Linked DNA regions of Stegostoma tigrinum. The protein of the gene in region 2 interacts with the protein of the main gene of each other region in a pairwise test. Links are inferred from orthologs where the notes say so. Each region holds a gene or a part of one and is shown on either strand. Other genes may lie near its edges. The genes, in order: ppfibp2b, crk, psmc6 and inactive ubiquitin carboxyl-terminal hydrolase 53-like.

Evidence for each region.
Region 1: the proteins of crk (region 2) and ppfibp2b interact in binary tests that used the Homo sapiens proteins (3 or more experiments, as listed by UniProt). The link is inferred for Stegostoma tigrinum from reciprocal best matches to the Homo sapiens genes CRK and PPFIBP2.
Region 3: the proteins of crk (region 2) and psmc6 interact in binary tests that used the Homo sapiens proteins (3 or more experiments, as listed by UniProt). The two-hybrid records come from large-scale screens. The link is inferred for Stegostoma tigrinum from reciprocal best matches to the Homo sapiens genes CRK and PSMC6.
Region 4: the proteins of crk (region 2) and inactive ubiquitin carboxyl-terminal hydrolase 53-like interact in binary tests that used the Homo sapiens proteins (3 or more experiments, as listed by UniProt). The two-hybrid records come from large-scale screens. The link is inferred for Stegostoma tigrinum from reciprocal best matches to the Homo sapiens genes CRK and USP53.

The regions. Positions count from the first base shown.
Region 1 is NC_081370.1:38,748,197-38,755,806, reverse strand, and holds the start of ppfibp2b (liprin-beta-2b), read left to right. Parts: upstream 1-4,506; 5' UTR 4,507-4,659; intron 4,660-5,141; exon of another isoform or gene 5,142-5,175; intron 5,176-6,168; exon of another isoform or gene 6,169-6,225; intron 6,226-7,610. UniProt on the Homo sapiens protein: May regulate the disassembly of focal adhesions. Did not bind receptor-like tyrosine phosphatases type 2A.
Region 2 is NC_081380.1:46,981,445-46,989,406, reverse strand, and holds the start of crk (adapter molecule crk), read left to right. Parts: upstream 1-4,892; 5' UTR 4,893-5,252; coding exon 5,253-6,029; intron 6,030-7,962. UniProt on the Homo sapiens protein: Involved in cell branching and adhesion mediated by BCAR1-CRK-RAPGEF1 signaling and activation of RAP1.
Region 3 is NC_081363.1:46,102,908-46,109,982, forward strand, and holds the start of psmc6 (26S proteasome regulatory subunit 10B), read left to right. Parts: upstream 1-4,074; 5' UTR 4,075-4,148; coding exon 4,149-4,233; intron 4,234-7,075. Other genes in the region: ero1a (ERO1-like protein alpha), read right to left, coding at 1-104. UniProt on the Homo sapiens protein: Component of the 26S proteasome, a multiprotein complex involved in the ATP-dependent degradation of ubiquitinated proteins.
Region 4 is NC_081354.1:68,133,913-68,141,743, reverse strand, and holds the start of inactive ubiquitin carboxyl-terminal hydrolase 53-like, read right to left. Parts: upstream 3,086-7,831; 5' UTR 2,995-3,085; coding exon of another isoform or gene 2,908-2,994; 5' UTR 2,662-2,907; coding exon 2,518-2,661; intron 1-2,517. Other genes in the region: uncharacterized protein LOC125463357, read left to right, coding at 2,908-2,994, 7,168-7,248. UniProt on the Homo sapiens protein: Deubiquitinase that mediates 'Lys-63'-linked deubiquitination of tight junction proteins, such as MARVELD2 and LSR, and which is involved in the survival of auditory hair cells and hearing.

The DNA.
Region 1 (7,610 bases), on a different chromosome or scaffold from region 2:
AAGTTATTGGGTGAAGCTGATTATGCTGGGGCTATTTTCCTTAAAGTGTCAGAGGGTGAGGGATAACCTTTTAGAGGTTCGTAAAATCATGAGGGGCATGGATGGGGTCAATAGTCAAGGTCTTTTCCCCAGGGTAGGAGAGTCTAAAACTAGAGGGCATAGCTTTAATATCAGAAGGGAAAGATTCAACAGGAACCTAAGGGGCAACTTTTGCACACAGAGAATGGTGCTTGTATGGAATGAGCTGCCAGAGTAAGTGGTGGAGACTGGTACAATTACAATATTTAAAAGACATCTGGATAAGTACAAGAGGAGGAGGAGTTTAGAGGGATATTGACCAAATGCTAGCATATGGGACTAGACTAAATTAGGATATCTGGTTGACGTGGACGGGTTGGACCAAAGAGTCTGTTTCTGTGCTTCACATCTGTATGTCTCCATGACCTTGGTGGGAACCATGGGCACAGAGAGTATGGGTACTAAATCTGACGAACACCTCACTGTGACAGCTCCGCAGCTGGGCTAGGGAGAAACTCCCCAGGGTACTGGCACATCCCTGTGAGCTCACTGCCACTTGGGACCTAATGACCCTTCTTCCCCAGGAATCGCATCAGCGCAGTGAAACATCCAACTGTTTATCTGACTCCAGGGACTGGTTGGCAGCTCTATATTGTCAGAGACAGCACCTTCAGGTGCTGCTGAATAGGCACACACTGCATCACCCGAGCCCTTTATCCTCAGGACTAAAGACATGGCTACAGGAGGTGGGGTGCAGAGAACCTTGATTTCACTCCCAGTTGTCCGCTTCTCACGAGCAGGCTGAGTGGTCCCAGAAGACCCCAGCCAGTGATGGGTCACAAATCCTTTAGCAGTTTCTGTTTTTGGCACTGGGGTGGTGGTCAGCTCTCCCACCCCCACCCCAATTTCCATCTTGCCTAATATCCTCCAACCCCCTCAAGCTAAGGAGGGTCAACTCTGAAAAGATTATTCTTGTCACATTCCGCCTGTCAAGACAGAAACACCCCCTGAGTTGCCCAATCAAACGTCTGGGGTTCTACATTTACATTAGAGCAGGCTCTTTCCAGCCCAACTGCAGAACTGGGGAGTGCAAAAGAAAGACTTAATGAGGGCACATTGGTGGCAGAGGCGAAGAAGGCTATCTTGTTGTTGTTGATTTTAACATTTGTGCATCTGTTTGTTTGAGACTCTCTCTGTCTAGGCACTCAACACATTTTCAAACCAGCTGCAGCAGTTCATGGCTATATAAGAGGTTTCATGCATTGCGCTTAGTACTGAAAGCATACTGCACCGGCTATAAGCTGGAGATACCTTTGGACTTCCTGGAAGAACACAATCTGTAAGAACATAACAAATAGGAGAAGGAGTAGGCTATCCAGCTCCTCACACCTGCCCCACCATTCAGCAAGGTCATGACTGACATGCCCCTAGCTTCAACCCCTCTCATCTGCCAGGTCAGCATATCCATCAACCTCCTGATATTTCAATTTCTGTTTACCCCTCTTTAAATGTTTTCAGTCCTCTAGCCTCCAAAACTCTCTGGGTTGGAGAAATCAGACATTCATTTTCCTCTAAGAGAAGAAATTCCTTCCCACCTCAATTCTAAACAAGTGTCCACTAATTCTGTAACTATGTCTTCTGGTTTGAGATTCCCTCACTAGTGAAAGTCAAGCCCCCTCAAAATCTTATATGTTTTGATAAGACCACTACTCATTCTTCTAAACTTTCACGTATAAAGATCAAGTCTGTTTCTGATTAGTAAATCCCTTCATCTCAGATACCAATCTAGTGAATGCCCTTTGAATAGCCTCCAAAACCAGTACATTTTTCTCAATGCAGGGACCAAAATTGTATATCATATTCCAAATGCAACCCCACCAATACCCTGCACAGTTGTAATGAGACTTTCCTGTTTATAAACTTCAACACTTTTATTTGGCAATAAAGGCCAAAATTCTATTTGCTTTAATTACTTGTTGCACCTGCATGTGAACTAACACAAGAAAACCAAAATCCCTCTGCACTGCACTTTTTTGGCTGTCTTTTGAGTCTTCCTACTAAAGTGAAAGCCTCAAAATTTTGGTACAATTTTTTGACCACTCACATGACCTATCAATATCCTTTTGCAAATTCCTTATGTCCTCATCATGTCTTCCAATCCTGCCTATTTTAGATTCAAATAGACAGTAAATAATTGAGGCCCCTAATCCTAGAAGCACTCTAATGATTCTGTTCTTCCAACCTGAAAAAAAACTATTTATCCTTACTGCCTTCTGTGCATTAACCAACCCTTATATATTATTCCCAAGACCACACCAGTTTGAGCAAGAACCTTTTATCTGGCACATTATTGAATATCTCATGAAATACAGATACATATCATCTACTGGTTCCCCCTTACCAACCCGACTTGTTTTAGACCTAAAGAGCTCAAGTAAATTTCCCTAACACAAAACTACATTGACTCTGTTAAATTGCATTAAGCTTTTCTAAATGCCCTCCTATTTCTTTTTTATTGATGGAACCCTAGCATTTTTCCAATGACAGATATTAGGCTGACTGAAGTTTTTGCATTTCTTTCTCCCTTATTTAAATTTGTTTATATCATCTGCCATTTCCCTGTTTCCTGTTGTAAATTCTCCATCTACATCCTCCAAGATCCCACCTTTACTTTGGAAACTCTCGTTCTTTTTATATACCCCTAGAAATTATTGCTGTTGTTGTTATATTTCATGCCAATTTACTTTCCTTTTTAATTTTTTCCCCTCTTTAATTATTAGCTTTACAGTCATCCATTTTTTCTGCTTTGTATGCCTTTGTTTTAATTGGCTACTCTCCTTGACCGTGTTATTTAATTATGGGTGGTTCATACTTCTCATCAAGTCATTACGTTTGATCAGAATAAATTTTTGCTAAGTGGTATGAAATACCTACTTAAATGGCTGCCACTGTTCACTCACTGACTTTAACTTAGTCGATTTTCCCAGCACACTTCAGGCAACTCAGTCTTCATAACTGCAGTTATCTACACCAGGGTCAATGGTTTAAGACCAGAGCTGATCTTCCTCAAATTGAATTTGAAATTCTACTACATTGCGATTCCCTCCTCCTTTGAAGATCCTTGACTATAGATCTCTTATTATAATTACACCATTACATATTACTAGATCTAAAACAACCTGTTTGTGTAGAGGTGTTGTAATGGCCTGCTCTAGGAAGCAATGCCTGATGCACCCTAGAAATTAGGCTTCGAGGTCACCCTTGCTCACTTGATTTGTCTAGTCAATGCCTCCCATGTACCCTCAGAAGGTCTTCTTCCTTTCCCTCTCTAAAAGGCTCAATGCAATTCCTGGAGTCTGCAGCCAGGATGAAGGAGCATGCCCTACAGCAGAACGCGTTGGTTTTGGCATTTCAATCTGGCACCCTGGGGCATTGGCGTCTCGATGGCCCTCATATGCTGGATGAGTCCTGTCCAGAGATTGGTGCACACTCCTCACTTTGAAGTCCCACACACCTAAGGCCAAAGGCCTCGCCACTTCTCAATTGTACTGAGGGGAGACGACTGAGTAGCCTACATGTGGTTCCTCCTTTACCTGTCTCCATGAGAATAAGAGGCACCTGGAGTGAGGTGATGTTCCTTCGTCCTTTTTGCCACTGGTGCTGAGCATTATAGGGACATAACTATATCTCACATAAGTCATTAAAGGTGACAGGACAAGTAGAGAGATCCATTAATAAAGAATACTGTGTTCTACGCTTCACGAATAAAACAATTAGTACTGCTGCCGAACAGAGCTAAGGGTGCAGGTTTGATTCCAGCCTTGGCTGATTGTCTGTGTGGAGTCTGCATGTTCTCCCCTGCGGGTTTCCTCCGGGTGCTTCGGTTTCCTCCCATAGTCCAAAAATGTGCAGATTAAGGGGATTGACCATGTTGAATTGCCCGTAGCATCTAAGGGTATGTAGGTTAGATGGATTAGCAATGGGGAATGCAGAGTTACAGAATTTGGGCAGAAGGATAGGTCTAGATGGCATGGGCCGGTGTGAACTTGATGGATCGAATGGCCTGCCTCCATCGATTCTATGACAGTAACATGATAATGATTAGACTTCAGCTGATATCCACATCCCACTGAAAAAGGAAAAAACATGGGAGGGGATGGTGGTCAGCTAATGGCCAAGTAGTATGCCCAATGATGAACTGTCTGATTCAGCCTTAGAGAGTGTCCTGGGAGAGGAAGCGAACAACGGCTGAGGAACAGGGGCCATAGACATAGCATCAATCTGCACAATATTCATTGCTCACCCGATTGTCGGACAGGCTCGAGGAAGACCCTGAACACGTCTCTTCTTGCAAACAGAGGAGGACGCTAATAGCAGGAACTGAGCGGGATGTGTCCCACTGCGGTTCCTATTATGAAGGGCAACAACGTCTTTTTTCTCTGGAATTGTTTTATCATATGACAACGCCTCTCACGGGACTCTTGCCAACTCATGGAAACTGAGAGAGGGGGTAATGAGAGTTTAAGAGGTGTGTACCGTTGCAAGGCTGCAATCCTAGCTCTCTGCACAACGCAAGTTTTGTTCTGGGGATTGAGTGACGCCCCGAAGTTCGGTTCAGGTTACAGCGAGTGATAGCAACAGGTGAGAATCATTCACACTAGCTACAAAGTTTTGTTTGGGAAGTTGAACAAATAATTTGCTATTTCCCTTTCTCTCACTGTTAGTTTCCTGTTTGCTTTAAATTGTGACTTGTGCGCAAAGCCTTTGTTTCCATATTTCCGCTACCTTGGTGCCTTTCAATTTGTAAACAGTTTGTCGATTCAAATTTGTTTAGACAGAATTTATCAGTTTCCATTTGAATAGCTGAATGTGTGTATATAAAATAACTGATATTTTGTTAGTGACGAGGGTCGTTTTCTTCACGGAGGGTTTGTACAATGACTTCAGAAATAAATTGACTTGTTGGGCTGTAGTTTATGTGAGTGATGAATTGGTTGCAGAGCTCCTTTTTGATGGCTTAAACATCTTATGAACTCTGCGGAGTTGAATCTCGCCTGAAAACCTCTTGTAACCAGTCAGATTTCTTAATTTGCATGCCGAACGCCAGCCTGTGTACTGCTGCCTGTTTTCTTTCTACAACATCCGTTGAATCTACAGGTACCTTTTTTGGGAACTTTTTTGTGAGCGCTGATTATGCAACTTAATTTTTTCCTCTTGTATTTTGTAAAATATCTCCTTTTAAGGCACAAGCTCCTAGTCAAAGTGCGCACTGAAACCATCTTATTTCTTACCAATGTCACTCTCTTAGTTTTGATTACTTGCGCATACCTTGATGCTGGATTTGAAAACCTTTTTGAACTCTGTTTTACTGCTATTCCTTCCCCCTCCTGATAGATTTACAATTGAGACGAAGTGGCCGGTGGAGTGGATATCCTCTTTCCCGCAGTTCTCCGCCCCACCCCGTCCCCCACAAATAACCTCAGCGACCTGTCTGTAATGTGAATGCAGTGGCGCCGCTTCCAGAGTGGCTCGCCAATCGCCAGCCGCTTTTTCCACGGCGTGTTACACTTTTGCAGTTGTCCCCAGGGTTAACTATCATAACTGTGTGGGCACTGAGCTATTTTCGTACCGCCGGCAGAGTCCTAACTGCATCTTCCCCCCCCACCGCCGTGGCAATAGAAACTTGTCAATAGAACCGTGTTAAGCCGGACGGCAGCGAGTCGACCGACCCCATGACAATGTTCGCTTTTGCTTACAATCGGATGGAGTGCGTGGTTTCACTACCTGTAGCTTTACATTGCGGTCCCCGTTGGACGTTTAACTCTCTGATATCCAGATGTTTTTTGAACGTGGTAATCGTATTTTTTTTCGTTAAATGGTTGGATTTGGTTTGTATAGGTTGGTCTGCCTTGCTTTTACAGATACATAGCCATTGAGCGAGCCATACAAAAGTCTGCGCTGTGCTGTTCTATTTCTATAGTTGGCTTCTTAATAATTTAAGAGGCGTAAATAATTGAAGTGCTTTAAATTCTGAGCCACTGTGCCCTTTTTTAATAGTTGTATCATTGCAAAATGCGATAAGCAATTGATGGAAATCGGCTTAACTGTCTCTTATCTCCTTTTCCTGCCTGAAAACTCCCAATGTGGCAGAAGTTGAAGCTTTTCAAAAGATCTCTTCCATCATGTAGAGCTCCTCCAGTGGCCTGGGTGAGTGATTGCACCATGTGGAGAGAGGTTAGCCGTACAATCCGGGAAGGATCCGGAATATATTTAAAAGCAAGCGAAATACACTGCAGATGCTGAGAGATCTGAAATAAGACTGCAGGATAAACTCAGATCTGGCAACTTCTGTAGGAGGAGTTGAGTCCAACATAACCCTTGGAAAGACTGCTGCTAGACCTGCTACTGAGTGCCTCCAGTGCTCTCTGTTCTTATTTTCTGCTCTGTTACTTTTGCCCATTTATTCACAGGATGTGATGGTGAGCATTTCCTTGAACCGCAGCAGTCCATTTGCTGCCTTTACCCCCACAGTGATGACAGTTCAGAACTCTGATCCAGTGACAGTAAAAGAACAGCGAGATCGTTCTGAGTCAGAATGATGTGTGACTTGGAGGATAACCAATGCCTCCCACACTTGTTGAAGAAGGGCCTAGGCTCAAAACGTCAGCCTTCCTGCTCCTCTGCTGCTTGGCCTGCTGTGTTCATTCAGCTCTACACCTTGTTATCTCAGATTCTCTAGCATCTGCAGTTCCCACTATTTCTGGTTTGGAGGCTGTTGTCTAAGGAGTCTTGGTATATTTGTGCAGTGAATCTTGGTGGTCGTGCCTGCTGTAGTCACGATTCAGCCTGTCCTGAAGCTTCCATTGAAATTTTTTGAACCACCCAGAAGGCAATGTGTTGTGTGTACCATGTAATGTAACGACAGACCACAAAGCATCCATAAGCACCACGGTTAAACACTTCACCTGTCAGGTGACCAGTTATAGGAATGTGGGTATATAGTGTCTGGAGATGGGGTGGAGGTCTCCTGGATTACAGTCCAACCTACACTTCTTTGCAGTATCACAGCCCTTGCTCAGTGGTATAATGTTTACCTCTAAATTAGAAAATGAGAGTTTTGACTATCACTTTAGAGTGTCTACTCTAGGCTAACACCACGACAATAATAAGGGAGTGCAGCACTGTCAGAAATGCTGTCTTTCAAATAAGGTCAATTGCTACTCTGTCGATTCCATCCAGTGGATGTCCAAGATCATATAGCACTATATCGAAGAAGAGTAAGGGGATTATTCCTGGTGTCCTGGCCAACATCTATGCCTCAATGCATGTCACAAAGGCAAATAGTTTGATCTTACTGCAAACAAATTGATTGTCTTCTACAATACAATAGTGATTACACTTCATTATGTCTTCTTCATAAACAATTTTGTAATGACCTTTACATTGGATAAAAGCAGTGTAAGGTGGAATTTGCTGTTTCTCCAATTGGAAAGTTACTTGCAGTGTAAAGTGAATTTGCTGTTGTGTCACAAGACCGTAGGCAACTCTTCCATAGAAAAAGATGTTTAACCTGAGGATCATAAAATGTGAGG
Region 2 (7,962 bases):
GGCAGATCTCTTTGAAAGACCAGGGAAGGCAAAACTGCTCATAAATATTGCAAAAGCTGAATTCGTGAAGGCAGAAGTGACGTCCTTATGGCACAACATTGAACATGGATGGATGACACCAAGAAATGTGAAGACGAAGGCCAATGAGGAATATCCAAGACCATCCTCGAAGAAGGAAATGCTACGCTTTCGGAACTGAGCGGATTCTACAGGAAATCTCCACCAAATTTCAGTAGCATGGTGGTACCGCTGAGGAGTTTGTTAAAGGAGAAGATGAAATTTCGGTGGACAGAACAAGGACAGGAGGCATTTGAGAATTTAAAAGCTACGTTAGCTACCACACTAGTTTTAGCCGCACCAAATTTCTTCAAAGCCTTTAAAGTCACCATCAACACAAACAATGTAAGCGTCGGAGATGTGTTGTTCCAGGAGGATGATTGTGGAATTGAAAGGCCAATCAGTTATTGTTCAAAGAAACTCAATATCCACCAGAGAAAATACTTAGCCATTTAAAAATAGTTATTGGCATTACAACATTTTCATGTTTACATTGCAAACAATGTCTTGGAGACAGTCGTGTACTCTGACCACAACAATTTGACATTTTTGGTGAGATTTAAGGGCCAGAACACTAGCCTATTTTGTTTAGCCTTATGATACAAGCATTTAATTTACATATTGTACAAGTTACAGGTCGTGAAAATGTTACTGCGGAAGCGTTATTTTGGGTTTAAAAGAAAAATGTGTATAAGATAGAAACGTTAGTGTTCAATGTTATGTATGTATACAGAATTAGTATGAAAAGTGTAACACAGGATTAATGAGCTATGGATAGAGTAATAGTGGTGTTAAGGTTTAGATAAAAAAGAAGAAAGAATGAAGCCATTTTTCATTATGATTGTTCATTTTTTTCTGAGGGGGATGTGTTGCAAAATTGGGCATACTATTGATGGATTAAAAGGCAGGATGTTAGATTTTTTTAAGTTTGTAAATTGATAAGAGGGAAAAGTGCATATTCCTTTAAAAATAGATGTGTGTTTTTCCTAGGCTTGGAGATTTTAAAAGTCTGCAAGCAGCACAGCTGCACAGAGAGTTCCTGAAGGGAAACATTTGTATTGAGGGGGTATATTGTGGGTATATCTGCAGGAAAAGCAGCATCTTTTACTAATCAACAGGCTTTGAAATTTATCCAATTAATTTAAACTAGGCCCCAATCTAATGGTTTTGACAACCTTGGACCAATTTTATTATAAGAAATTAACAGGTCATCAGAAGTATAAAAGAAGAGGGTATTTGAAAATCAGGGTAAGAGCAACTGCCATCTAAGAGAAATAACAACCCATAAGCTCTAAAGAGAAACACTGGCTCTCATGGAATTCTATCAGCTCTCAGAAAAAAAACCCATCATCTAATTAAAGGTACAGTAGCATTTTACCAGAATTTGACAGCGAAAGGCATTCCTGGTGGAGAATCAGTTCAGAGGGTGTGGAGCATCTGGAAGGTGTATCCTGGCTGTAAATTTGAGAGATTAAGCTTTAATTGTTTTTATTAATTTGGTTTCTAAGTGGGACATGTATCAATTAGAGCAGCTTACCATTAGAATTTTGTCTTATTTGGGAATAGTTTGTAGTTAAGGGGTGAATTGTTCAATTTGTTAGTAGTTCTGTTAATTTGTTAACTGTTGGAGTTAGATAAATTGTTACTTGTTGATTGTGAGTGAATGTCGGAAGTTCATCTTACTTTCACCTCTCCTTTATGACAGATTGGGAGGTGAGAGGCAGGTTATACTAATTTTCGCATTTCGTTTAACAGATTATGAAGTGAGGCAAGCTTCTCTGAGGTTTTGGTTTTAATTATCAGAGGGGTTTGACCACTCCTTCATAACAATAGCACTCTGCATAATTCTCGTCATCCTGCTATAGGAAGAATATTATTAAACTTGAGAGGTGTAAAATAGATTTACAAGGATATTACCAAGTCTGGAGGGTTTGATCTATAGGGAGAGGCTGAATAGGCTGGGGCTATTTTCAATGGAGTGTAGAAGGCTGATAGATGACTTATAGAGGTTTATAATATCATGAGAGTCATTGATAAGGTAAATAGGCCAAGTCTTTTCCCCAAGGTTTGGGAGTCCAAAACCAGAGGGCAGAAGTTTAAGGTGAGAGGGGAAAGACGCAGAAGGGACCTTGAGGGGCAGCTTTTTCACACAGAGGGTGGTACATATATAGAATGAGCTGCTAGAGGGAGTGGTAGAGGCAAGTACAGTTACAACATTTTTAAAAAGACCTTTGGACAGGTACATGAATAGGGGAGGTTTAGAGGGCAATGTGGCCAAACACAGACAAACGGGAACAAAACCAGAAGTTGCAGGAAAAGCTCAGCAGGTCTGGCAGCATCTGTGAAGAGAAATCAGAGATAATGTTTCAGGTCTTGTGACCCTTTCTTAGAACTCAGTTCTAAGGAAGTGTCATGGGACCAAAAACATTAACTCTGATTTTCTCTTCGCAGATGCTGCCAGACCTGCTGAGCTTTTCCTGCAACTTCTGGTTTTGTTCCTGATTTACAGCATCTGCAGTTCTTTTGGTTTTTATTTATATAGACAAATGGAACTAGTTCAGTTTCGGAAACACGGTTGGTAAGGACTAGTGAGGCTGAAGGGGCAGCGGATTGTCTGACTTACAGAAGGCAGAGGCAAGGGATAAAGGGGTCTTTTCCAGGATGGAAGCTGGTGACTACTGGAGTTCTGCATGGTTTCATGTTGAGATCACAGAATCACATCATATGTTAATCATCTGAACAAAGGAGCTGAGGGCATTGTTGTTATATTTGCAGATGACACAAAGATGGGTGGAAGGATAGGTAGTGCTGAGGAATCAGGGAGGATGCAAAAGTACTTGGATAAGCTAGTGTTGAAAGAATTGGCAGATGGAATACAATGTGGGAAAATGTAATTGTGCACTTTGGAAGGAAGAATAGAGGCATTGACTATTTCCTAAATATGGAAAGGCTTTTGGAAATCTGAGACAGAAAGACTTGGAAGTCCTCGTTCAGGATTCTCTTTAAGAGTTAATATGTGGGTTCACTTGGCAGTGGGGAGGGCAAATGCAATGTGAACATTCATTTCCAGAGGGCTAGAATACAAGAGCAAGAGATGTACTGCCGAGGCTGTATCGGGTTCAGGCCAGACTGCATTTGGAATATTGTGGGCAGTTTCCTTCCTCGTATCTAAAGGAGGATGTGCTGATGTTGGAGGTGGTACAAAAAAGGTTTACAATAATGATCCCAATAATGAAGGGCTTGTCATAATGAGGAGTGGTTGAGGACTCTGGGCCTGTACTTGATTGAATTTAGAAAATCGAGGGGGGATCTGATTGGTAATGAGGCCTGGATACAGTAATTGCGAAAAACATGCTTCCACTTTTAGGAGACATTAGGAACCCAGGACACAGTCTCAGCATGTAGGGGCATCTAGAGCTGAGATGAGATGGAACTCTTCAGTCAAATGGTTGTTAATCTGCAGCAATCATTGCCACACAGGGATGTGGAGGCCAAGTCATCGAGCATATCTAAGACAAAGATAGATAAATTCTTGATTGGTAAGGGATCAAGGGTTACGGGGAGAAACCAGGAGAATGGGGTTGAGGAGCATATCAGCCATGATTACTTGGTAGAACAACCTTGATGGGCCGTATGGCCTAATATATGGTCTAAAAACAAATCATTATTATTTCTGAATTCCTCCATGGTATTGTCCCTCCATCTCTCCTGGGTCCTCAATTCTGTTGCTTGAACATCCTAATTTTAATTGATCCACCTGGTAGCTTTGCTATCAGCTCTGTCCAGGCTGCATAATGTGGATTTGCCTTAGTCCAACATATCTACATATTCGCATGACCGCCCTATCGATACATTCACAAAAAGAAACAAACTATTTCATTAATTTTGATGTGAATGCTATGTAATTAACCTAGGGATATTCACCAGGATGATGCCTTGGATAGAGCACTTCAGCTATGAAGGAAGGCTGGATAAGTTCAGGCTATTTTATTTGGAGTAGTGAAAGTTGACGAGTCTGTATCTGGGTGTATAAGACCATGAAGGATATGGAGAGGGTGGACAGAGAGAAAGTATCAAGTGGAATTAAGAACAAGGCACCATAATTTTAAAGTGAAAAGCCAAAAGGCTCACAACCTTTAAAAAAGTAGTTTAATGAACAACTGAAGTGTCATAACATAGAAGGCTGTGGGCCTACTGCTTGATTACGGGACTAGTATAGGTACTAGCATATTTTGACAGTACAGACTCAATGGACCAAAGCACCTCATCGATACTGTGTGATTCTATGAATCAGTGCCCTAAACTTCTCCACCACCCCTCAGTCCTCAGGCCCTACGGCCCTACCTGAGTATCAAACTAATGTCTTTCAGTGCTTCAGTACCAAAATCTTTGTTTGGTAATCCTCCCTTGAATCATGTTCAGGTGTTTCAATATAAAATTTTCGTATGATATTGAAGAAAGCTCACTGGACTCGAAACATTGACTTTGTGTTCTTTTCACAGACGCTGGCAGACCTACATAGTTTCTCCAGCAATTTCTTGTTTTTGTTTGTTTCGGATTTCAGCGTCCGCAGTTCTTTGTTTCAATTTTGTTTGATGATCTGCAGCCCCGGGACCACCCCTGGTTGACTGGGTTGCAGGCGCCATGTCGGTGCAATTGGATATTGCTGGACCCTCTAGCACAAGAAGGGAGTCCAACACGACCTCACCAAGATGGCAGACGGCTATTCCCATCGCCACGAGCTGCCCTTCCGAGTGGTGGGGTCAGCGCTCGCCCTCTCTCTCTCTCCACCCGACCTCACTCCAGGGAGTGCGCGTGCGCAGTGGGGCGGTCCCTTTTAGAGAACAAACGCCCTAATCAAAAGTCGGCGGATAGAAATCGGCTAAAAGGGTCGGGCGCAGTTAACGATTCCGCTGTTCTCGCGCGCTATTTTCCAACAGATTTACAGTGAGAGGGGAAAAAAAATATAAGTTTCACAAACAAGAGGCGGCCGATCTGAGAACTGACGCGGGGGGACGGATTTTATGAAGTAAACACGCGTCTGTTTGCCGCCCGGGGACTTTATATTTTCTTTAGTTTAGTGTGTTGTGAAGGGAGGCCTGAGGCCTAGGCGGCGAGTAGGCCGCTGCCGGCACCGCTGGGCAGGCAGAGCGGAGCTGAGAGTAGCCCGGCCCGGGTAGAGCACACTGAGGGACATGGCGGCTAATTTCGACGCCCAGAAGCAAGAGAGTTGGTACTTCGGTCCCATGAGGCGGGACCAAGCCGTGTCTCTGCTGATGGGCCAAAAGCACGGCACTTTCCTGGTGAGGGACAGTCGCACCATCCCAGGGGACTACGTGCTGAGTGTCAGCGAGAACTCGAAGGTGTCGCATTATATCATCAACAGCCGGCAGCAGCAAGGCCCAGGCCCCGGGCCCGGGCGCTACCGCATTGGCGACCAGGAGTTCGAGAATTTGCACGGCCTGCTGGAGTTCTACAAGATCCATTACCTGGACACCACCACCCTGCTGGAGCCTGTCCACAGGCCCAACGCCGCCTACATCCCCACCAACAGCGTCCCGTCTGAGGAGGCCCACTTTGTCCGCGCCCTCTTCGACTTCCCCGGCAACGACGAGGAGGACCTGCCGTTCCGCAAGGGCGACGTGCTCCGCATCCTGGACAAGCCCGAGGATCAGTGGTGGAACGCGCAGAACAGCGAAGGCCGCTGCGGCATGATCCCCGTGCCTTACGTGGAGAAATGCCGGCCCAGCTCGCTGCTCGGCCCGGCTAACAGCCCGGAGGGCGGCCAGGCGTTAGCGGCCCAGCACCAGCCCTCGCCGGGGGTTGGCGGAGTTGGGCAGCCTGAGTTCGGGCCCTATGCCCAGCCTAGTGTCAGTGCCTCGCTGCCCAACCTCCAGAACGGGCCGGTGTATGCCCGGGCCTTCCAGAAGCGTGTCCCCAATGCCTATGATAAGACGGCCCTGGCTCTGGAGGTAGGTGCCTTGTGGTCCATTCCGTTTCCTCCCCCTTTTCAGCAGTGCTCTGTCAGTCTGGGTATTCGAGTATTGCTGGTCGCTATACTTGGGGAAGGAAGGCAAATATCCGAAGACGGTGAAAAAGTCGATGATAAGTAATGTAAGATTAAGAACTTTCAGCGTTCTGCCCTGGTTTTAAAGAGAAGTCCTATTGGACGTGAAACGTTAACGCCAGATGCTGCTGGGCTTGTTGAATTTTTCTAGCGCTTTGTTTTTTTTTTCAGATTTCTAGCCTCACATTTTGCTTTTATTCTGCTTGAAAATCTGATTTTGATTAGTGTTAAGCTTTTTTATTTGATAACACTCGTGAAACAACTTGGGCTGTTAGGGATACTGTATCAATATTGAGCGCAGTGTTGAAAAGCTGAGATTGTCCTTTTTTTAAAAAAAGAAAGTGAGGGATATGGGGAATCTGGTGCCTTTGCTTATAAAACATTCCAAGGCACGCAATTGTTAGACCTGATTTGACAATGGGTTATGAGATGATATTAGAACAGATGACAATTTTTGTTGGAGGTGAATTTAAATAGGAGCAAATTTAGCAGGGTGGATATCCAAAACACACAGGCCTCAACTGTTGAAGGCACAACCACCAGTAGTGGACCAATTAAAATCAGGAACAAGGGAAATGCCAAGATTGTGAATCTCAGGTTTGTTGAACTCGGGAAGTTTTTAGAATTTAGAAGGCAGTGCTGCTTTGGGCTGAACACACAGATCCGAATTTTAAAATCAAAATGTTGCCTTAACTGGAATGATACTAGGGATGATGATGTGAGGAAAACTGGATTGTTTTCCTTGTGATTTGTGTGCTTACAATCCCAAATGATTTGGATTGAATAGATAAGGATGAAACAGTTTCCTTGTCAGAAAATGTGGAGCTGGAAAAGCACAGCCAGTCAGACAGCATCCCAGGAGTAGGAAAGTCAACGTTTCGGGCAGAGACCCTCCATTAGGATGGGTTTGATGAAGGGCTTCGGTCCAAAATGTTGACTTTCCTGCTCCTTGGATGCTGTCTGACTGTGCTTTTCCAGCTCCACATTTATTGATTCTAGCTTCCAGCACTTGCAGTCGTTACTGTCTCCAATGTCAGAAAGATCTGTAACCAGAGAGCACTAGTTTTATAGAGATCAGAGATAATGGGAACTGCAGTTGCTGGAGAATTCCAAGATAATAAAATGTGAGGCTGGATGAACACAGCAGGCCAAGCAGCATCTCAGGAGCACAAAAGCTGACGTTTCGGGCCTAGACCCTTCATCAGAGAGGGGGATGGGGAGAGGGAACTGGAATAAATAGGGAGAGAGGGGGAGGCGGACCGAAGATGGAGAGTAAAGAAGATAGGTGGGGAGGTAGGGAGGGGATAGGTCAGTCCAGGGAAGACGGACAGGTCAAGGAGGTGGGATGAGGTTAGTAGGTAGATGGGGGTGCGGCTTGGGGTGGGAGGAAGGGATGGGTGAGAGGAAGAACCGGTTAGGGAGGCAGAGACAGGTTGGACTGGTTTTGGGATGCAGTGGGTGGGGGGGCGGAAGAGCTGGGCTGGTTGTGTGGTGCAGTGGGGGGAGGGGACGAACTAGGCTGGTTTAGGGATGCAGTAGGGGAAGGGGAGATTTTGAAACTGGTGAAGTCCACATTGATACCATATGGCTGCAGGGTTCCCAGGCGAAATGAGTTGCTGTTCCTGCAACCTTTGGGTGGCATCATTGTGGCAGTGCAGGAGGCCCATGATGGACATGTCATCTAGAGAATGGGAGGGGGAGTGGAAATGGTTTGCAACTGGGAGGTGCAGTTGTTTGTTGCGAACTGAGCGGAGGTGTTCTGCAAAGCGGTCCCCAAGCCTCCGCTTGGTTTCCCCAATGTAGAGGAAGCCGCACCGGGTACAGTGGATGCAGTATAC
Region 3 (7,075 bases), on a different chromosome or scaffold from region 2:
TGATAGGAACATTTTTGGTCATCCACCTGCCTTTTTGAAGTATGATGCTCCTTACACCGGGCTGAAAATACACAATAAAGCAGCAAAAGGACCCGTGTCAACATGATAAGAAATGCTTAATCTCGCCTAATACGGTCAAACAAACCGCTTCAATCCAAATGCTGGAAAAAAAAATAAATGCCAACGCGAACCAGCAACTGGGAGTGAACAAACTCGACTCATTGAAAGTTTGCTGGTAGAAGTTCCACCTCCTGGTAAATTTCACAATACTTCCTGGTCTGATGTGCAACACCAAACTCGCACGTCCCGAGACGCTACCAAACACCTCCGGTGGTGTAGTTGTTCGATTTGCCGTTTGTTACCATGCGCCTGAGACACTGTACAGAATCAGATCAGTGGAGGGACAACTTCCTCTCAGTGTTGAGAGGACGTGGATTACGTGCTCGTTCGCTTCCATTTAGAGGAATTAGATTCTGCTGGCAAGGGAGGGATCTTTGCTTGTGTTTTATTTATTTAAAGATATACAATCTGATGTCACACCTGTGTTACACCGTCCTATACAGAAAATAGCCTTTCTCATGGCATGACAAATGAGTATTTTATCGTGTCACTAACCCCATTTCCGCCTTGGACAAAATTGATTGACCTCCAACGAATGACGTTGAAATCAACTTTGTTGGCACAGCCAGCATGACAACATGCTTGTTCTCAAATTAGTAGATTGTGTTTTGCGACAATATTTCTTTAAATACAGGACTTCAGGTTATTCTTTCACCAAAGAGTTTAACAGAATCGAGAATTTTCACTCTGGGAAGAGCCACATATAGATGCCAAAGTTTAACAACAGTCACAGGGTTACAATGCAATTTTTTAAACAATCAGGCCTTCTGATTAGTTTATAATCATGAAACGTGGAAGTCTGACCGGGAACTATTTTCTGTAGAGTAGAAAAGGTGGGTTTACTTGAAAAGGATTCGATATTAATTAAGGAATAAACATTCTATTTATTTCCTTGAAATCTTAACTACAATAATTTCAGCATCTATTACTAAAGAAAATTGTTGAGGGGAATATGGGTCAGGATGGCTAAGTTGGCATTTATTGCTCTTTCCTAATTGCCCAGAGGGCAGTTAAGAATCAATTAGGTTTAAATGGATCTGGAGTCACATGTAGACAAGACCAGCAAAAGATGACAAACATCCTCCCCAAAAGGACATCAGGGGATATTTTTAACTTTAGTCATGTTCCAAGACAGTATCACTATTTAGACTCAAATTATGGGCAACATTTTTGCAGCTGTTACTTTGACTTTAACTCTGCAGGATCTAGATGTTATCATCTTCTTTGTCTACAGCATAATTGATAACATATTCTTTTAATTCACTTGCCAGCTGCTCTTAAACTTCTTCATTCAGTTGTAATGAGTCTTCGTATTTTATCTTACACAACAAAGAATAAAGTTGTAATAAATAATTGTTTCTGTAATTTTGCTACATTTAATCTATAATCTCCATCAGGCTGGGACAGATAGACCAGACAACTATCTACCAATGAGTCTGACATCAATGGTTGGTAAAATATTGTAGAAAAGAGTGACGGAGAGAATTAATCTCCATTTTGAGAGGCATGGTTTGTTAAGGGAGAGTCAGCATGACTTTGTCAGAGGGACATCATGCCTAACAAATCTGGTTGATATTTTTGAGAAGGTGACCAAATGTTTGGATGAGAGTGGGGCAATTGACAGAGTTTACATGGATTTCAACAAGATCTTTGACAAGGTCTCACATGGGAAACTGATTAAACAAAAAGATAAGAGCTCACAGAATATGGGTAATTTGGTATGTTGGATCCAAAATTGGCTTAGTGACAGGAGAAGGGGGTAGTGGTAGGAGACTGTTTGTGTGACTGGAGCCCAGTATACAGTAGCATAACATTTACATCAGTCATCTACAATCCCTACAGTGCAGATGAAGGCCATTAAACCCATTGAGTCTGCACTGACGTTTTGAAGAGCATCCCACCCAAACCCATACCACACGCTCTCGCCATAATCTTGCATTTATCATGGCTAATCACCTAACCTACACATCCCTGGACACTATGAGATATTAAAAACATCAGAGAATAGCTGAAAACAAGAGAAGACATAACTTAAAATATGAGCAAAAGCTGGCTAGAAAATAAAAACAAAAAGAGTTTTTATAGGTATTTTAGAAGGAAGGAAGTAACCAACATGAGCTTTAGTCCTCTAGAAAATGAGTCTGGCTAATTAACAATGTGAGTTATAGAAATGGTGGATGCATTGAAGATAATACTGTCTGTTTTCATACAAGACACAAATAACATCCTGGAAATACTCGTAAGTCAACAGTGAAAGGAAGAGATAAACTAAAAACAATTTCAGACTGTACTGTGATAATAAAGTGTGAAGCTGGATGAACACAGCAAGCCAAGCAGCATCTCAGGAGCACAAAAGCTGATGTTTCGGGCCTAGACCCTTCATCAGACACCCTCTCTGATGAAGAGTCTAAGCCCAAAACGTCAGCTTTTGTGCTCCTGAGATGCTGCTTGGCCTGCTGTGTTCATCCAGCTTCACACTTTATTATCTTGGATTCTCCAGCATCTGCAGTTCCCATTATCTCAGCCTGTACTGTGCTGTACCTTTCTATGTTCTATGTTCTTAGGAAAAGGATACTAAGAATAATATTAGAATTAAAGGTAGAGAAGATACCAGGACCTGATGAACTTCACCCTAAGGTCTTAAAAAGACTAGTTATTGAGATAGTAGATGCATTAGCTTCAATGTCCAAAATTCCCTGTATTCTGGAACTGTCTCATCAGATTGGAAAATGGCAAATGTATTCAAGATTTTATTCAAGAAAGGAGGGAGAAAGAAATCAAGAAATTATAGGCCAGGTAGTATAAGAGCTGGCAGATGGAAAATGCCAGAGTCTGTTGTTAAGAAGGTTATAGCAGGGAATTTAGAAATCTTACTATAAGTCAAAATCAACATGGTTTTGTGTAAATGTGTTTGACTAATTTGTCAGTTATTTAAGGAAGTAATAAGCAACAAAGATAACAGAGAAAATGTCCTTGCAGTGTTTTTGGATTTCCAAAAGGCATTTGATAAGGTTCCCATCAATATTTATTACACAAATTATGACCTCCAGGTGAGAATAAGCGTAGATCGATCATTTCCAGGTTGGCAAGAAAAAAACAAGTGGAGTTCCACAAGGATCATGCTGGGGCCTCAACTATTTCTAATTTAAATCAATAGCTTGAATGAGGAGAATAAATGTATGGTTGTTAAATACTGATTACCCAAAGATAGGTGATAAAATAAGTTGTGAAGAGTCTGCACTTATTATTAACAGATTAAGTGACCGGACAAATGTTTAATAAAGTTTAATGTGGGGAGATTTGAACTTGCCCATTTTGGCAGGAAGATTAGGAAAGCAGCATTTGATTTAAATTGAGAGACATTAAAGAATACTATGATGCGGAAAGATATCTTCTACAGTAAGTCACAAAAACCAAGACTGTATTACAATACATGATTAAGTTGGCAAATGAATGTTGTTGCTTATTGCAAGGAATTTAAAGTAGGGATATTTTGCTATACGTGTACAGGGCTTTGGTGAGATTACATCTGAAATATTGTGTACAGTTTTGGTCTGCTCACTTAACTAAAGATATGTTTACATTCGAAGCATTACAATCTTCTGGAGTGGGAAGGGAAGGACAGCAGAAAGAGTGGCCAACCTATTTAGGGGTTGGATGTCAAACAACACAAAGCCAGTTGCAGAAAATCTACAGTGAATGTGTGAGGATAGCACAAGACAGACAGTACAACGGACTATGACGACAAATCTCCCAGCAACCGCAATGCTTCTTACAGAAAACCTCAACAATAACCATTGAGACATCAATATGATGTAAGCTGCTGGCGCGTTCATTACTTCCGCCTGGCCAAACCAGATGCTGGGCTTAGCCACACGACAGCCATACCACCTCTAGCCACTAGAGGCTGTACACTTTGGAGGTAAGATACCTTCCCAGTCAGTGGCTACTCTTGCTTCAGAAGAGACTCATTGTCAAATGCGGCTGGGAGCTTCGTCTCGTCAGGCGGTGTTTGGTGCTGAACATCAATGGCGGATCCGAGGGAGAAGGCGCTTCAGGATTACAGGAAAAAATTATTGGAGCACAAAGAGATCGACGGCCGCCTGAAAGAGTGTATGTTTTCCACATTTTACTCATGGTTAATGGGTTGGGGTGTAACTGCGGCTTCTATGTTATGTACGAGCGAGTAGAAACGGGGCCTGATGCTGACTCGCTTTGTCATGCTGGGTAAAGCCGGGGCCGAGTGAATCGCAGCTTCAAGGAGCAGCCTCACCGGTCTGCTTCCAGACCAGGCTTCGCTCCAGTTCCCGCTGTGATTCATATTCTAAATCACACAAGTAAGATGTAGGAAATTGTAGTCCGGGATTCTATGTGAAGTGAAAGGAGTTTGTTGTGGGCCCCATTGGAAGGGAGATGATCCCAACCATCAGCGGCTAATAATCTGGAGCTAGAAGTTAAAATCCTATCCTAGCACCCTGAAACTTCAAATTCAGTTAATTAAACAAATCTGGAATTAAAAATTACTGACAGTTATCTCCTGTCTAATTTGATAGTGTGGCATTTCGCGGAATAAACTGCATCCATAAGTGGTTTGTATCTTTATATTTCTCACGAATGCAATTTTTTTTAATAACGTGGAGGAATACTATTTGGTTTCGTGCCTGTACTAACTCTTTGAAAGCGATGCAAGTAGTCCTACCGCTCACATTTGCAGAATTCCGTTCAGGATAATTTTGTTGAGGCAGTTTTGAACGCTGTTTTCACGTTATTTATATTTTAATTCATTTCATAATGTTATTCTAACTGTGCGGGATACTAACAAAAGCTGAATGAAGCACTGACAGGATCTATAAAATTTTCGTGTTATCAGTTCGCTTGTTACTTGTAGAAATTGATAAAGTATGTAGTGTGAAATAAAATACAAAAGTAACGTTATTCCCAATTATAATTACATATTCTTGCTTGAGTCTGTAACAAAAAAAATAGAAAATACTGGAAACAGTCCAGTAAGTATGTGAGGTGGATAACTAAATTAATGCTTTCCATGCTTCAAGTATCTATGTTTGTTTAATTACTGACCGGCAGCAGAGGAAATAGGAACAAGAGTAGGCCATTTGTCCCATCAAATGTATCAGTTTCTGGGTCTTGAGCATACTCTGGGATTAAACTCCCACATCTCTCCAGAGAAGGAAAATTCCAAAGATTCGCCACCCTCTGAGTGAATATTGGCGTTGAGACTGTTTTCCTTGGTTCTGGACTCACAAGCCAGAGGAAACTTGTATCCGTACCTGTTCCGTCATATCCTGTGAGAATTTTGTAAGTTTACCTGAAATCACTTCTCATTCTTTAAAATGCTGAGCACCCAGACCTAATTCTTCAGTCCCTGCTCTTGAGACAAATGTGCTGTCCCAAGATTAGTTTGGTGAAACTTCACTTTCTTTTTAAATTTGCTGTGTAGATACCCTTTATGCGGAAATCGCTTGATAAAGCTTGTTTTGGGAAATTTTCTGTGTGTTACATCAAAACAGGGCAATATTCTATTTAGTAAAGCTTTTTATTTATAAAAATGTTATCACAAAGGTAGTATTTAAATGAATACGTGGAAAAATGTTAGCTCGTAAATAACTTGCTTTGGCAGTGAAATATTTCATGGGCTGTATTTAGTTTTGAAGCATCTGATCAGTGTTTTTTTAAATAATCTTGTGCTTCATGTAATTAAAAGGAAGCAGCAATTATTGTTAATATTATGGCATACTTGTGGCAAAATATTGTGCATTACATGTTACTATCAAATTTCTTTCAAAATCTTTGCTTCCACTATACCTTCTCCCTCCACTGTGTGATTTAACTGATGTACAGCCCAATTAACAAGGCTTTGGCAATGTGTTCTTGGTGGGTGGAGTCCTGTCTCCTAGCTTGCTGGAAAATTTACACTCCTGAATAGATCTTAGAGAATATTGCTTGCTACCTCCATTAACTGCAGTTTTGTATATGTAGGTGAAAAAAGATTAAATACCAATCTTGAACTTGTATGCATTAATTACAAAGGAGAAATTTATTTTTAAATAAACTGAAGTCTTAAGTGCAACAAGTTTGTGGAATTGTCTGTGAACAATGTCGCACAATCTGACAATGTTTGTGGTGTCTCACGTGTTACAAAGTGTCTCAGAATATACTTTGCAGTTTCTAAATCCGAGATTTCTACATAGAATGCTTACATTCACAAAATATGCACATAAGCACAAACTGTAAATAAAAGTGCTGGAAAAATTTGGGCGATATCTCTGTGGCGAGAGAACTAAGTTAACATTTCAGGTCCAGTGACCCTCCTTCCAGTTCTAAACAGGTGAAATTGAACACAGAAAAATATCAAATAATGCATTATGGTAGAAAGAATAAGTATTGGCAATGTTAAAAGGCATACAAGAACATCTAGATCTTTGATATATAAACACAAATATTTAAAGATGGCAGGCCAAGTTAAGGCCATTTAAAGATGCAAATGCAATCCTTTAGAAATAGCATGTGTTAAAAAGTGTGAAACCTTTACAAGATACTAGTTAAATCTCATCTGGCGTATTTGATTCTTGGGACTAGACTTTAGGAAGGATGTCAAGGCCTTCAAGATCGTACAGAGAGAATATAAAACATTTGTCAGGGATGAATAAGTTGTATTTATTTTTAATCTTTCATGAAATGAGTATTGCTGGCAAGATCGATATCTGTTGTCCATTCCCAATTACCTGTCAGAATGCCATGATGCACTGCCACCTTCAACTGTTGTAGTCGAGCTGGTTTGGCATTCTTGGAGTTGTTAGAAAGTGTATTCCATGTTTTCATTCAGCAAAAATGAAGGAATGCTGAATAAACTTGCAAGTCAGGAATGTATGTGCCTTGGAGAACTAGTAGACATGAAATGGTGCTTCCATTCTGCTGTCCTTGTCTTAAGTGGGAG
Region 4 (7,831 bases), on a different chromosome or scaffold from region 2:
ATTTTGAGCACAATTGCAGAAACTATGAGCAAAAACTGATTTTCGAGCATAGTCAAGCGGAGCCATATGGTCTTGAAAATCTATACTATCCTACAGCAAAATAAAGAGTTTAAATTTCTATGGGAAATATAGGCTAGAAAAATACACATGAACAAAAATAATGAACAGTTCATAAGGATTTGTTCCATCAAAGCGCAGTCTTCCAGGGCACAATTCATCTAAAGCTCTCATCTGATGTAAAGTATTTTTGATATTAGAACAGCCACAAGTTTGTTTATTGCTTTGCTCAGTAGGCAAAAATCACTGAAAAAAACTCAGCCCATAAGTTGTGCCAAGTACAACACTATCTGTAAAGCACAAATCTTTTTTTGTAAGAACATTTCTAACTCCACAGTAAGTTAACAATTATTGCAGAAAATCTACCATTCTCCATGAGCGTGAATTGAATAGCATTCTCCCACAGACTGGGTGTTTTGTGCACATGCTTTGCCATACAAAGAAACTGAAGTGTTACAAAACTAAATAAAAACTGAAAGAACTGCAGATGCTGTAAATCAGAACCAAAACAGGAGTTGCTGATAAAGCTCGGCAGGTCTGGCAGCATCTGTGAAGAAAAATCAGAATTAACATTTTGGGTCCAGCAACCCTTCCTGAGTTCTGAGGAAGGGACACCAGACCAGAAATGTTAATTCTGATTTTTCTTCACAGATCTGCCAAACCTGCTAAGATTTTCCAGCAATTTGTTTTTGTTACAAAACTACTGTGACTTCATCACCAATCATACCTGAAACTTTTCCCCCCATACATGTTACCTGCAGTTTCATTCAAACCGAAGTCATCTGAAGTATAACTAAACAAGGACAACAATAGCCACAGTTTTGCAAAAGTTTAAAGGACCACATTATTTTAAGCATACCTAAACTGACAAATATTTCTGAAGTGAAACAAATTACAAATGTTTGTTTACGTCATACTGTTTTCTACATTACTTTAAGTTTTCAGTATACTAAACTGCCTACCTGTTCCTTGCTTGGGCAACTTTAAAAATACAAACTGGGGTTCATTTTGATAAAAGAACTGAGAAGACATAGCAACTTATCAACCTGGTTAACCACAGTACTGTGCACAATATTTCCTTATGTTGTAGGAAGGATGTGGAGGAACTTGTGAAGAAACAAACGAAAAAGCTGATGATCAGGAAAGAATGGATAGGTTTAGTTTGCTTCTCAAGAAAGGAAAAGGCTCAGAGCTGTGTTGTTACAAGTCTTTGAAATATAGCTTGCGCAAGCAGATCTTAAATAATAAAACCATTTTTCAACTTCTAAAAGTAGTCTGAAGAGAGATATAATCTGTACGTTTGCACTACACAATTCAGGCAAAAATGTGAAGAATGTGTTTGATCCACAATTTATAACAGAAAAACTCTTCAGTTAACTACAACAATACACCATTCAAATCACTTTTCAACCAGCTGAAACTCAACTAAAAACAGTATTTAAAAAATACGTCAGTTACTCAAACTGAGTAATTCTTCTGATGACTCCAAAGAAGTTAGTAGAATCACCTTCCAAATATGTACAATAGTTCTTTCCTATTTTGAAGTATAACTTAGCTTGTATCTCTTTTTGTATACACGCCCAGTTCAAACCTTGCAGGTCTGGAAGTTTGTAATAAATCATTAAATAAAAAACAAATCAGAATATTCAGTTATTGATAGCTTTAGATACATGAAAACTGGTGGCTACATTGGTCAAACTCTTAAGACATAAAACACTTAAGGGGTCCACAAAATCAAAATGCTAGTCACTCCTCAAATGTGTCAGTAGACAAATAGCCCCAGGGAAAAAAATTGAGACCGAGGGATAAAATAGAAGCCTATAACAAAATCTACAAACATCTAAAAACAGTACTTTCCCTGCAGTATCATCACGTTTAAAAAAAATAAAGTCCACCTGCAGCATAACATCTGTGTCCTATGAAATTAAGAGTTAAATGTTCCATTTCAAAATCAGATTGCAAATTTTATCTGCATCAGACTTGTTAAAATTTCACCTCCTCCCGTCTTCCTCTTAGGATCTGGTGACGCTCTCTGCGATTTCGCCTTGATAACAATAGAGTTTGGTTTACAAGGTATTGCAAAGTACAGCGACAGCTGAACTATCAACGTGCAACAATTAAAAGCTAATACCCAACAAAATAATTTAAAAGAAGACGAATCGTTGCAGTCAGCTTGTACGATGGATGAGGGTTTTTTAAAATTATTTCCCCTACAGCGATCCGAAATGATAAACTGCGCCAGATACGGTGCAATCAGGGTGTCACTGCATTCCTTCCATCGGGAAGCAGTCGGGTGGAGTTAAAAGTTTCCAGACACAATTCCACAAAAAAAGGGAAGATTGCCTCCGACTTTTAAACATGGGTTCTCAAGGTGTGTCGAACGAGCAGTCGTTGTTATGGCTGTCGGCGCACCGCTGAACGCAGCCCGAGCCCAGTGCGGATCAGGTGCCGTTCCCTTACCTGCACCGCGCTGTTGAGGAAGCAGCTGTTCTCTCCGGGTCCGTTCAGAAGCCCTTTGGGGGGGGCGATGGACAACATGCTCCCGGGCTGGTAGCCGCTCCGCAGGTTACCTCCAGGCTTCAGCAAGTTCTTCATCCAGGCCATTGTCCCGGGAATGGCGCGAGCCACAACAATCGGACTGACAGAGGGAGGGGGCGGGGCGGTTCGGGCCGCGAACTGGCTGCCAGGTGCCTCGCGAACACCCCCACACCCTCGCTCCCCGCCGCCCTCCCCTCCTCAGGTGAAGCGACTGCTGTCCATGGGGTATCTCCCCTTCGAAAATCTCAACACTTTTCACCCTCCACAGTCCTTCATCGCCGTCCTCGGACACACACACTCCCCAGAGTGGCGATGGTGATGGCCGCGAACTGGACGAAGGACGGCGGGCCTACAGAACGGAGAATGAGAAGAAGGAGCAGGAAGACGCTGCCCTGGCAGGTAAGTCGAGCGGCGCGCGAAAGGAGACTACTCCGGTCCAACCGTCCGCCTTCGACACCAGGTCCGTGCGCCGTTGCGTCACCACCAGCTGATTCCAGCTGCCTGCGTCCGGTCACGTGCGACTCCAGCCGCGGCTCAGGGAAGCGGGGAGGGATGGCAGAACGGCGAGTACCCCCACGCTAGGTGTAGGTCGGTGTTGTCTTTCTGTCTGTAGTTCTCCTTCCTTGCCTGTCATTTGAGAGCAGGAGGAAAAACGATTGATCGGGCAAAGTAGCTCTGTGTACAATTCAAAGGAGAGTACGTATGAACGAGTGGTGCCAAGAGATGGGGGTATTCGGGGAGGAGATTCTTCCTCACTGACCTCCTTTCGTGATGAAGTAAAGAGGCGTTAGGTTGGGCAGTGGTAATAACACTAACCGAGTTAGTGAGCCTCCAGTGATTGCAATAATCAAGGCGAACGGCGAAAGAATGGAGTTTGGAAATCTCTGCGATCTGTCCGGCCGCTGCTCCTCCCTGTTAGATAATTTGTTTGGATTATTATCTCTAGATAATTTAGTTTTGCTTTTAAGTTGAAAGATGTTTGTATGGGTCAGGAATTTTCATGATATAAACAAGTTTTTACCAGTATTTTATTGAGTGCAATTATGGTATAATGTAGTTTCTCATTTGAATTTGAATGTAAACTCACGAGCACAGTGAAAAGTTTACAAGTCGCCACTTAGAGCGCCATCTTAGGAACAAAGATACCTTGGTACAGAATCTAGGTACAAAGGGGTAAAATAATGAAACCAACATTTAAAAAAAGTTAAACATTACAGTCCTCCTTACTAAAAGGTAGAAAAACAAAACATTGTTAATAGTTCAACACCACAGTCCACAAGCACCTAGCCATGCTAAGCTCGCACTCATCAAAAGGGCTTCGACTCACAGCTGCAACCACCCTGGGCTGCCTGCTACTGCTCTTGCTGGTAGTGATGCCACCTTCTTTCGCGGTCACTATCAAAAAGAGGAGAAAGATAAAAATGAAAAAGAGATGTGGCCAACCTGGTGTTGGGGAAGCGGAGAGGTTCAGGATCCCGAACGCTGCGTACTTTTGAAAGCTGTTTTCCAACTTCAGTTTCACTGTTCATGTTTTATTACTCAATTATCAATCGTAGAGTGTGTAGGGGGGGGGGGAACGGGAAGAGTTAGGGTGAGTGATTGTCCAAATAACTTTTTCCTTAGCTTGAAATTCTATGATCAAAGAATCCCTGCAGTATGGACACAGGCCTATCGGCTCAACAAGCCCTCACCAAACCTCGGAACATCCCGTCCAGACCCACCTAATCTACACATCCCTGAACACTATGGGTAAGTTAGCATAGCCAATCGACATAACTGTGGGAGGAAACCCAAGCAGAAACACGGGGAGAATGCGCAAAATCCGCACAGACAGTCGCCCGAGACTGGAATCGAACCCGGGTCCCTGGCGCTGAGGTAGCAGTGCTAACTGCTATGCCACCCCACGGGTGATATTGGAAAAGTTGAAAGGATATTTAATATTGAAAACAGTCGTTTGAACAGAGTAAGTAAGCAAATAAAACTGTTCCACTGGTGAGAGGCTGAGAGGACACATTTAAAGTAATTGGCAAAAAAAATAGAAACATGAAAAAAATTCTTGTGCAGCAAGTGTTTAAACTCTGGTATGCACCATCTGATAGTGTGATCAAGGCAAGTTGGCTTGAGGCATTCACGAGGGAACTGGATTATTATCTAAAAATGAAGACCGTTTAGAGTTACTGGGAGAAGGCAAGAGAATGGCATGAGATGAATTGTTTATTCAGGAGAGCCACCAATGACGTGGCAGGCCAAACCACTTGCCTGAGAATCTGTAGGATCAAGAGGGTTTTGTATCTGGGCAACGATTTAATAATTCCTGAACCTACAAACAGGAATTTGTGATTTACATCTCTGATAATGGTGAAGTATTTTCCAGCCCTTTAGGTCCATAAAAATTATGAATAACTTGTAGCCACCTTCAAAGTCAATAGACCACAGTTCCAATTAGATGGTACTGGCGTATGGAAGTATAAGAACTTGCCTCTTAGCTTAATAATCTTAGTCGTGGTGAAAAAGTTATAAGAATTTTCACTTTGAAACAAATGCTTGTGACACAGTCGCTAAATCAATGAAGGCAACCTCCTTGAGCCTCTGTAATATCACATGCTCCCTCTCAATCTGTCTACCTCTGAAACCATCCCAACAGTTTTCCGTCACCTGGCTGGTGGTTTCAAGTTTAGCCTGTCATCTTTAACTCTTTGCAAACATCAGCTGATTTAAAATTGTACTGTGGATTGCTCCAGTAATTTTCCCATCATTGCCATGGTGCTGAAATGGCTCTTATCAAAGTCAGAGTGACTTTCTATGTGGTTTTGACAAAGGAAAACTATTCCTTCTCCTTCTGAATGCAGTCTTTTGACATTGTTAACAACAACATCTTCAATGCCTTTCCACTATCATCCAACAGGTAGGACAACGCTCCATGGATTTATTCTTATCTAACAAAATACACCTAAAGAAGTATGTGGAATGGCTTCTATTCCTGTTAGGGCATAATAACTTCTGCTGCACCACCCATGCCACTCCCAGGATCTATCCTTCCTCCTTCCCCATCCCATTTCTTCTTTATAAGCCATCCTTTGAAACCACAGGGTAAGTTCTAACAAATTTGCTGATGATTCTCAGCAGTTATCTTTCTTAGTGCTCCATTGTGATTAAGTTATTGAACTCTTTGTGTGACTGAATGGACAGAACTTCCCTCTGGTTAAATATTGGAAATCCATTATCTTTGGTTGTTGCTACAAATTCTATTCCCTTGCTAACAACTTATATTCTGCTGTCTTGCAACTGTCGAGCTGGATAACTGTTCATTAGCTTGGCATCATATCTGAGGTAGCTTCTGATCACATTTCTGTGCCACAGCTAGGACAGCCCATTATCACCTCTATATTTCTCTACTCTGCAACTGCTGAAACCCTCATCCATGCCTCTCTTACCTATAAACCTGCGTATTCTAATAGACTGTCAGCTGTTTTCTCATAATTGACTAAGTGAGGTGTCAAGGAACCTAGCAAAACCTAGAATCAATGGGAATCAGGAAACTTTCGTATTTATAGAAAGGAAAATGGTTGTGATTGTAGGAAGTCAGTCATTTCAGCTCCAAGAGGTTAATGTACGGGTTGCTGAGGGTAATGTCCTAGGCCTAACCATGTTAGGCAGCTTCATCAATAACCTTTTATAAGGTTAAAAGTGGGTATTTTCTTAATGACATTGCTGAGAATTGCACAATTTGAGAATCCTCGGATACTGGAAAGTATGAATAGTTTCATCTCCAACAAGAAAGAATCTAACTGTTGCCCTGTGGCATCAATATTACTGAATCCCTAAGTGTCAACATCCTGGAGTGGTTACCATTGATTGGAAACTGAATAGAGCTAGCTATAAAAATACTACAGCTATAGAATAGGTCAGAGAGTAGGAATCTTTCAATGAGTAACCTACCTCCTTTCTCCCCAAAGTCAGTCTACCATTGTAAAGGTCCAAGTCTGGAATAGAATGGAATGCTCTGAGTTTCCTGGATGATTGCAGCTCCAAAGACACTACAACCTTAACATCATCCAGGATAAAACAGCTCCTTGATTAGCACCACGTCCACAAACCTTCACTCCTTCGACAGCTGACATATACTAGTCCCAGTGTGTACTTTCTCTTAAATGTACTGCAGAAGACTCTTTAAGCAGCAGCTACCAAATCCAAGATTGCTACCATCCAGGAGCACAAGGGCGGCAAGTACAAGGGGAAACCAACATTGACCAGATCCCCTCTAAGCCATCGCCTTCACCATCCTGTATAGCAACAATATCGCTGTTCCCTAATGTCAGTGGGTCAAAACCCTGAAACACCTTTCCAAATGTTGATAAAGGGGGATTCGGGGATGGTAATGCCATTGAATATCTATGAGGGGTTAAATTCTCTCATTGCAGATGGTAATTGCCTAGCAGTGTGTGGTATCAGTGTCATTTGCTGCTTTTTGATCCAAACCTTGATATAGTCCAGGTCTTGCTGCAGTATCTGAAGAGTTGCAAATAGTATTGACTATAATGCAATTATCAGTGAATATTTCTCCACTTCCAGATTCAGGGAAGGTCATTGAAGCAGCTGAAGATATTTGGGCTGAGGACACTCCTGATTAACTCTTGCAGAGATACCCAAGAGGTGAGATAAGTGATCTCCTCCACCACAATCATCTCCCTTTGTGCCAGGTGTGACTACAACTGGTGGAGAGTTCTCTCTTTTATTCCCATTGTGTCCAGTTTTGTCAGGACTCCTTGAGGGCAGAGTCAACATGGTTTTTTGTAAGAGAAATTGTTTATCCAGTTTTTGCCTTTTTTTTTGTGAAGTAATATATGGATAAAGTTGAACCTGTTGTTACACTGTACTTACGTTTCCAGAAAGTATTTGATAAGGTGTCATGTTGAAGGATATTGTGGGAAATAAAAACGCACGGGAGTAGAAGATTGGCTAACTGAGAGGAGACAGAAGGAAGGCATGGAGATAATGGGAATTGCAGATGCTGGAGAATCCGAGATAACAAAGTGTGGAGCTGGATGAACACAGTAGGCCAAGCAGCAGCTTAGGAGTACAAAAGCTGACGTTTTGGGCCTAGACCCTTCATCAGAAAAGGGGGATGGTTCATCCAGCTCCACACTTTATTAAGAAGATAGGCATAGATGTCACATTTCCTGGTTTGCAAATTTGAATTAGTATGCTACAGGGATCAGTGTTGGGCCTCCACTTT